Canis lupus familiaris: one gene and its partner. The protein of the gene in region 2 purifies or fractionates together with the protein of the main gene of each other region. This does not show direct contact. Links are inferred from orthologs where the notes say so. Each region holds a gene or a part of one and is shown on either strand. Other genes may lie near its edges. The genes, in order: PTPN6 and myeloid cell surface antigen CD33.

Region 1 (2,837 bases), on a different chromosome or scaffold from region 2:
GTGGGTAAGGGGGGGTTATTTTTGACAATCTGGGTTTGAAATTAGTGCAACTCAGGCCACTAGCCTGGCGGCCCCGCGAAGCAGACAGAACTGGGGTCTCTGAGGGATCCTGAGTTTCCTGGGATCTGTTTGCTCTAGGATGCTGGTGGAGGGTGGGGAAAGAAGGGAGACCTCACACTTCACACAGCATCTCCGCATCATCTCCTGACCCCAGTGACCTTTCTGCCCTGCTGCCTCAAGGGCTGCCCTTTCCTGGTCTTCAGGGTCTGAAAAAAACGGGAAACAAAGTCCTCTCGAAAGAAGATCTAAATAAAACTTTTGAAGAGTGCGAGGTGGGGCTGGGGTGTGCAGTGGCGGGGAAGCCTCATTCAAGCCAAGGGTGCGGGAGAGGGTCAGGGGAGGCCCAGAGTGCCAGAGTGGGTGGGGGGAGGGACCCTGGTGGGCTGAAGAGCAGCCCCCAGCCAGCAATGAGGAGGCAGAGCAGGAAGTGGAAGGGTGAGATGCTGGAAAGAAGGAAGGCCAGGCGGGGCGGCCCTGGGAGAACTGGGCCCACCCACAAATCCCTTGGCTGAAGTGTTGAGTGCAAGTGCCCGGAACTCAGGGTCCGGCAGGCTTCTGCCTCTGGTTAGGCTGCCCAGTGACCCCGGGCACGTTACCTCATCTCGCCGGAGCCTCAGTTTCATCCTGCCACCGTGCTGGAGTTGAACGCTGGGGCTCTCCCTTCCTGGTGAGGCATGGCCGGGGCCTCTGATGGTGCCCCCTTCCCTCCCCAGTGCAGGCATCGGCCGCACAGGAACCATCATTGTCATCGACATGCTCATGGAGAGCATCTCCACCAAAGGTGAGGGTGACCCATGGGCGATGCAGGTGTTGGGGGTGTTGGGTGAGCGGCCCCTCAGTGTCCTCCTCTGCCTGGGCCTGAGGTCCAACTGTCATGCCTGCCCAGGGTTGGACTGTGACATCGACATCCAGAAGACGATCCAGATGGTGCGGGCGCAGCGCTCGGGCATGGTGCAAACGGAGGCACAGTACAAGTTCATCTATGTGGCCATCGCCCAGTTCATTGAAACCACGAAGAAGAAGCTGGAGGTCATGCAGGTATGTGCAGAGCAGGGCTCAGCAGAGCGGTGGGGGGCCGTGGGTGTCTCCTGGTCCTGCTGGGACCACTGCCCTCCCACCACACTTCTGCCCACAGTCCCAGAAGGGCCGGGAGTCAGAGTATGGGAACATCACCTACCCCCTAGCCATGAAGAACGCCCATGCCAAGGCATCCCGCACCTCTTCCAAGTAAGTGACCCCTGCCTACCCTCCTCCCTGGCCCGATCCTTCCTTTCCAGAGATGACAAGTGCCGCTGTCAGGGAGACCTGGGTTCAAGTTCAAGCTTGCCTCTTACTCCCTCTGCTCACAAATATTCCCTGAGTGTCCTCTACCTGGGTCCCATGCCAGGTCCTGGTGGTATTACTAATGTGTGAGATGGAGCTGTTGCCCGCAAGGAGCTTCTAGTCTAGGGAAAGGACGCTGACCGGGTCTCCTTTCTCCTGGCCTAAGTTTGTTCACCTGTGAAACAGGGGTGGGCCAGAGGCAGCTGCTGGTGCTGGGTAATCCTGCCCCATCTCCTGACCTGTGGCAACTGCCCACACTTGCCCACCCCACCTGCAGACACAAGGAGGACGTATATGAGAATTTGCAGAGTAAGAACAAGAAGGAGGAGAAGGTGAAGAAGCAGCGGTCGGCGGACAAGGAGAAGAGCAAGGGTTCCCTTAAGAGGAAGTGAGCCAGGGTATGGCCTCTCTGCTCCGGGCTCCGCCTTGCCCTGCCCCAAGTGTTCCCTGGATCCAATGCTTTCACCTGGATGGTTGGGGTGGCTACAACCTCACCCTGCCCTTTTTCCAACCATTCTGGATCCTTTTGATCCCCTTTTCGGGTCCAGGCACCCTCTTACTCTCTTACTCCCTTCTCTCTGCAGCCTCAGGCCTGATCCTTGCAGAGGCCTCCCGTGGACCAACCACAGCCGGAACTTAGGAGCCCGCCCCCATTCTATTGTAATTTAAAAGACTGCATCCCTACTTCCCTCTTCCTGACCCTGTATATAGCCCAGCAAGGCCCCAGGTGACCCTAGGCCCTTTACTCTTGTAAATAAAGCCCCAGGGAATCACTGTGTGTGGGTCTCTAATTCTGAACGCTTGGGTAGGAGGGGGCTCAGAAGGGGACGAAGAGGGAGGTGTGTGTGTGTGTGTGTGTGTGTGTGCGCGTGTGCGGGCGGTCGCATAAATTAAATTAAAGCTAGGCCTTCACAGCCATACAGACCTGGTTCTGGATTCTGCTAAACATACTAGGAGTGTGACCATGGGCCAGGTTCCTCAGCCTGTCCTTTCAGGGAAGAATGATCAAAGGCATAGCGTAGGGAATATAGTCAATGGTGTTGTGATAATTGTATGATAACAGATGGTGGCTACACTTACTGTGGTGAGCGAGTGTAACATACAGACTTGTGGAATCACTATGTTGTATACCTGAAACTAATGTAACATTGTGTGTGAACTATACTTCACTTAAAAAAAATATATATATATAATAAAATGGAGGATGATCCTGACAGAGTGATTGTGAGATCATTGTGACAAGGGAGAAAGACCACAAATGGCAATGATAATTCATTACACACTTGTCATGCGTTAGGCACCACTTAAAACACTACAGATATATATTTTTTAAAGATTTTATTTAACCATTTGACACGCAGAGAGAGAGAGGCCACAAGCATGGGGAGCAGCAGAGGGAGAGGGAGAAACAGGCTCCCTGCTGAGCAGGGAGCCCCAGGTGGGAGTTGATCACC
Region 2 (4,523 bases):
AAGGGAGCTGGCTCCACAACTGGGTGGATATTGTCCATGCCCACTGCTGTCCGGGATGCTGTCTTCCTGCAGGTCTTCACTCTGACGGGAGACACGGGAGACACAAGGGTCTCTGACATAGGGTCATTCTTTTGAGGCAAGTTGAGGCTGGGGTGAGCCCAGGAGCCTTCATATCAAGACTTTGTAACAAGATCCCCTTGCTCCTGGACCACTGGGACCAGGGCTGAGAACACACCTGTACTTGGCACCCTTCACCCTTGCTCCAAGACATCACAACTCCTGCAGGTCCCACTTCTTCCCGTCTCTCCCACACCTACCCAGCTCACCGAAAGAAGATAAGGCAGAGGCAGAGAGTGAGCAGCATGGTGACACCAGCTCCCCCAATGGCGCCTACAGTCACTCCTGACCTGGTCCCTGGTTTCCCTGTAGACAGAGACAATTGGACTGAACTCCAATCTTGATGTGCAGACATAAATTGCCTCCTCTGCAGCTCCACAGAGAGGGATACCCTTTCACTCCTGTCCAGGGTTCAGCCCTGAGGGTCTTCTACCCATTGTGGGACCTCAGCCTCCACCAGAAGGACATGGTCTATGTGAAACCTTCTATCCATACCATCTGGCCCCTGAACTCCTGTCTAGCAAACACCATCTCTTCTAGGATCCTGGTTCTTCCTCATACAGAGTCTCTCTGCAGCAGATCCCAGACCTGGCTGCAGTGGGACCATGAGGCTCTCAGCCCTCTTGGCATTCCAGAATGAGAGAGAGAAAGAGAGAGAGAGAGAGAGAGAAAGAGAGAGAGAGAGAGATGTACAGAGCTCTGTGGGATGTGGAAGTCACTCCTTCCTTCCAGGGAGGGTGTCTGAATCTCCTGGCCTCCACTGGCCCTATCACTCAGAGTCAAATGTGGTCTTTTGCACTTCCAGAGGCAGGTAGAAGCAGGGGAGTTCTCAGACCCTCAGCTCTCCTGGCCCTGCCTGGCCATGCATCCCACACCCGAGGTGAAGGATGTGTCCATGGGCATCACCTGTCAACCATTTGGCATGCACTGAAAGAGTCCTAATGGGGCTCACTATCCAGGTGAGGGCCAGATATCATTATCAATGAGATAGAACAATGGGGGTAAGGCTAAGCTCAGAGAGAAGGCAAGGTGAGGCCCGAGGATTGACAGTCAAAAAATGATCAGAGACATTTTGGGGCAGCAAAATTACTCCACACAGTAACACTAGATGGTTACATGTGATTATACATTGTCCAGTTCATGGAATGTATAATACCAAGAATGAACCCTAATGTCAAGGATGGACTGATGGTGATAAAGGACGTCCATGTAGATTTTATTGTAACAAAGCTACCCTCTGGTGGGGGATGTTTATAGTAGAGATGTAATGCACTTAAAGCAGGGCATTTGGGGAAAAATCTCTACCTTCAGCTTAGTTTTGCTATGAATCCAAAACTCCCCTCCAAGAGTACAGTCTACTGAAAATGCTCCAAGGCCTTCAGGGACCAGAGGTTGATGAAAAGCATATTCAAGATAGTGGAGAGAAAACTGCAGGTCACTTGGGCAAGACCAAAGTGCGAGGTTATGGGAGAAGAGGGCTGAGAGGGCTTCTCATGTCTAACCACAGCACACCAACACACCCTCATCCATGGAGTCTAAAGTCCCACTCTGACTTAAGTTGACAGAGACCCTGGCCAGTCAATACCCCATGGACATGAGGCTCCTTCCTACCTGTGCTGTGTTCCAGGCAGACACCATTTGTTGGGTTCTGTGTGGTACCTAGGATCAAAGAGGGGATTTCCTTCTTCAGTCTGGTGGGGTAATATCAGATACATATGGGCATCCCCCCACCCCAGAAACCACAGAAACACAGAAGGGACAGGGTTTGTGTCTTTCTAGGTCCCACACTCCACCAGACCTCTAGGACTAAAGCGCCAGGCATCTTAAGGCTGGCTTTCCCTCCCCTCATCCCTTAGGCACCCAGGTGGTCCTAGCTCTGTACTCACAGGTGACATTGAGTTGGATGGTCCTTTCCACCATTACACCAACTGCAGGGAACTGCACCTGACAGGTGAGGTTGGTGCCGTGGTCTTGGGGCCTGGGGGTGAGGGTGAGCACCGAGGAGAGGTGGGTCCTGGGGCCCAGGGAGGTAAGGGCAGCTGACATCCAGGAGAAGATGGGGGGTATGCCCTGCTCACAAGCCCAGGGCACAGAGCAGGTCAGGTTCCTGGGGTGGCCAGATTCCAGGGTCCCTGGTATGAGGATGTCAGGTGTATGGGTCAGGGCTGTGAGGAGATGGGGAGACATGGGGATCAGTAGGAGTGATCTGAGGTCTGCCCCTGAGAGAAGCCCCAGCTTGGTGCAGCCCCTGCCTGTGAGTCCCAGATGCATCTCCCAACCCACCCAGGGAGTCCTGGAGCCCTGTCCTACCCCTATGGTGTCATTTAGAGTCTTCTCCTTACCTGTCACATGCACGGAGAGCTGGTTCTGTAGGTAACTATATTTCAAATAAGGCCCTCTCTCCACCCTAAAGAAGTATGTCCCTGAGTCCCTTCTTTGTGCATCTCTGATCTCCAGGGAGCAGTTGTTGGCCTGAGGGTCCCCAAGTAGGAAGAATTGGCCCTGGGTCTCCTCTTGTACTTTTCGATCTGGGTTGTTTGTGGCCACTGGAGCACCCCAATGTACATTGGTCCCATTCCGGAACCAGTAGCCCAAAGCAGAGTAAGTCTTGATCCAGTATTCCATGGGGTAGGAGAAGTAGCAGGGCACAGAGATGCACAGGCCCTCCTGCACCGTCAGGGACTCCTGTATTTGTAGCCAGTATATCGGATCTTGAGCCAAGGATCTTGGGACTCCAGCGTCGGCAGAGGCTCCCAACTTCACCTTCCCCTGGGCCCATTCAACTGCCCACAGTATGGGCAGCAGCAGGAGCAGCATCCTAGACAAGAGGGTATGTAGGCTTCCTGTGGGTGAAGGAGAAGTGAAAGCCAGTAGGATTGGTGCTGGGAAGGACCCATGAGAAGCTGGGGAGGAGCATGAGGCCTCGTAGTTCACAGAAATGGAACTGCAGCCCCAGAGCTCACCCCCTCCCTGCACAGAATCAGCCACACTCCTGGACAAGAACAAAGGAGACCCCCCCCCCAAGGGAGAAGAGATTCTCAGTGGACCCTCACTGCCCCCATCCTGGCACTTGTTTGTGGCACCAGAGTCTGGTCCAGGTTCTCTGAGGACACATGAGGCATGGGACACAGTGAGTCTCCTCAGGTCCTCCCACCTGAGGTGATTGAGCAGTATTGTCTCTAACAGGGAGCTAGTCAATTCCTGGCTAAACCTGGAGTCACAGGCTCATCTAGATCCTCAGGTGATCAGTCCTGCAAGGTGGAGGATTCTTAGGTCTATGTGAGTGTCTGGAGCAGAAGGAAAGATGGGGTCCTGGATGAAGAGAAAGCAGGAGCCACTCGTTCATTCATTCATTCATTCATTCATCCATTCTCCAAATACCTAGTTAATATCTGTGTTGGGGGCACCTGGAGATAAGACAGTTGGGCCTGACCCAGTTCATTCCATGACGTGGTCCCAACCAAGGGTACCACTTCCTTCATAGATACACTATACTTTCATTTTGTCCCTATCAGGTTCACAGCTGCAGACACCTGTGACTTTGCAATGTGTCTCCTGGTCTCCTGGATATTTTCTTATATACAAGGATAGGACCATTTTTTTACTTCTATTATGCTGATTTCTAAAGTGTCACTGGATCTCCAAAAGGAGAACTGAAAAAAAAAAAAAACAAAAAAAAAAACAAAAGGAGAACTGAAAAAACTACATAGTTCCATGTAAAACAAAAGGGAGAAAACATGTTTATGAGCCATTGGAATCTCTGTCTGTACAATGGAGTGTGGGCTGAAGCAATTTCTTTAGTTCCTCATCAGACAATTAACAGTTCCTGTCATGTAAAAAATAAGCTTCTCAAGGTCAAATGTGGCTCAAAACACATATTTTTGCAGAAAATATGAGTGGAGTGGTTATACAGCTGCAATTAAAACTGTAGGTTCTGCTGACATGCTTGCCCATCTCACTCTGTGGAGTACACAGCTGGGAAATCGTTGATGCCTCTTTTTACAATATAAATATATAATAGCCTTTGCCATCATACATTCGTAAAATCTTCCAAACACAGTAATATTTAAGTAAATGTTCCTTGAAAAGTATTAACATAGAAGGGCACCATAGAGGGTGGCTCAATGGTTGAGTGCCTGACTTCAGCTCAGGTCGTGATCCCCAGGTCCTGGAACTGAGTCCTGCATCAGCTCCCCGCAGGGAGCCTGCTACTCCCTCTGCCTATGTCTCTGCCTCTCATGAATACACAAATAAAATCTTAAAAAAATTTTTAAACCAATTCTTGCAGAATTGTAGTAGTTTCTAGATGTGTTCTTTATTTCTTAATTTATTCTAACTTAGACTTAGTGAGATTCACTTGTTATCTCCTACAATTCTGTCAAGGTTGATGGATGTATCAAATTATG

The links.
Region 1: the proteins of myeloid cell surface antigen CD33 (region 2) and PTPN6 purify together in Homo sapiens (co-immunoprecipitation; 4 studies listed by BioGRID and IntAct, with this or other methods). This does not show direct contact. The link is inferred for Canis lupus familiaris from reciprocal best matches to the Homo sapiens genes CD33 and PTPN6.

Annotation. Positions count from the first base shown.
Region 1 is NC_049248.1:8,008,328-8,011,164, forward strand, and holds the end of PTPN6 (tyrosine-protein phosphatase non-receptor type 6), read left to right. Parts: intron 1-773; coding exon 774-841; intron 842-946; coding exon 947-1,098; intron 1,099-1,195; coding exon 1,196-1,287; intron 1,288-1,660; coding exon 1,661-1,775; 3' UTR 1,776-1,781; intron 1,782-1,967; 3' UTR 1,968-2,159; downstream 2,160-2,837. UniProt on the Homo sapiens protein: Tyrosine phosphatase enzyme that plays important roles in controlling immune signaling pathways and fundamental physiological processes such as hematopoiesis.
Region 2 is NC_049222.1:106,345,948-106,350,470, forward strand, and holds the start of myeloid cell surface antigen CD33, read right to left. Parts: upstream 3,004-4,523; 5' UTR 2,935-3,003; coding exon 2,460-2,934; intron 2,283-2,459; coding exon 2,004-2,282; intron 1,777-2,003; coding exon 1,729-1,776; intron 424-1,728; coding exon 327-423; intron 82-326; coding exon 1-81. UniProt on the Homo sapiens protein: Sialic-acid-binding immunoglobulin-like lectin (Siglec) that plays a role in mediating cell-cell interactions and in maintaining immune cells in a resting state.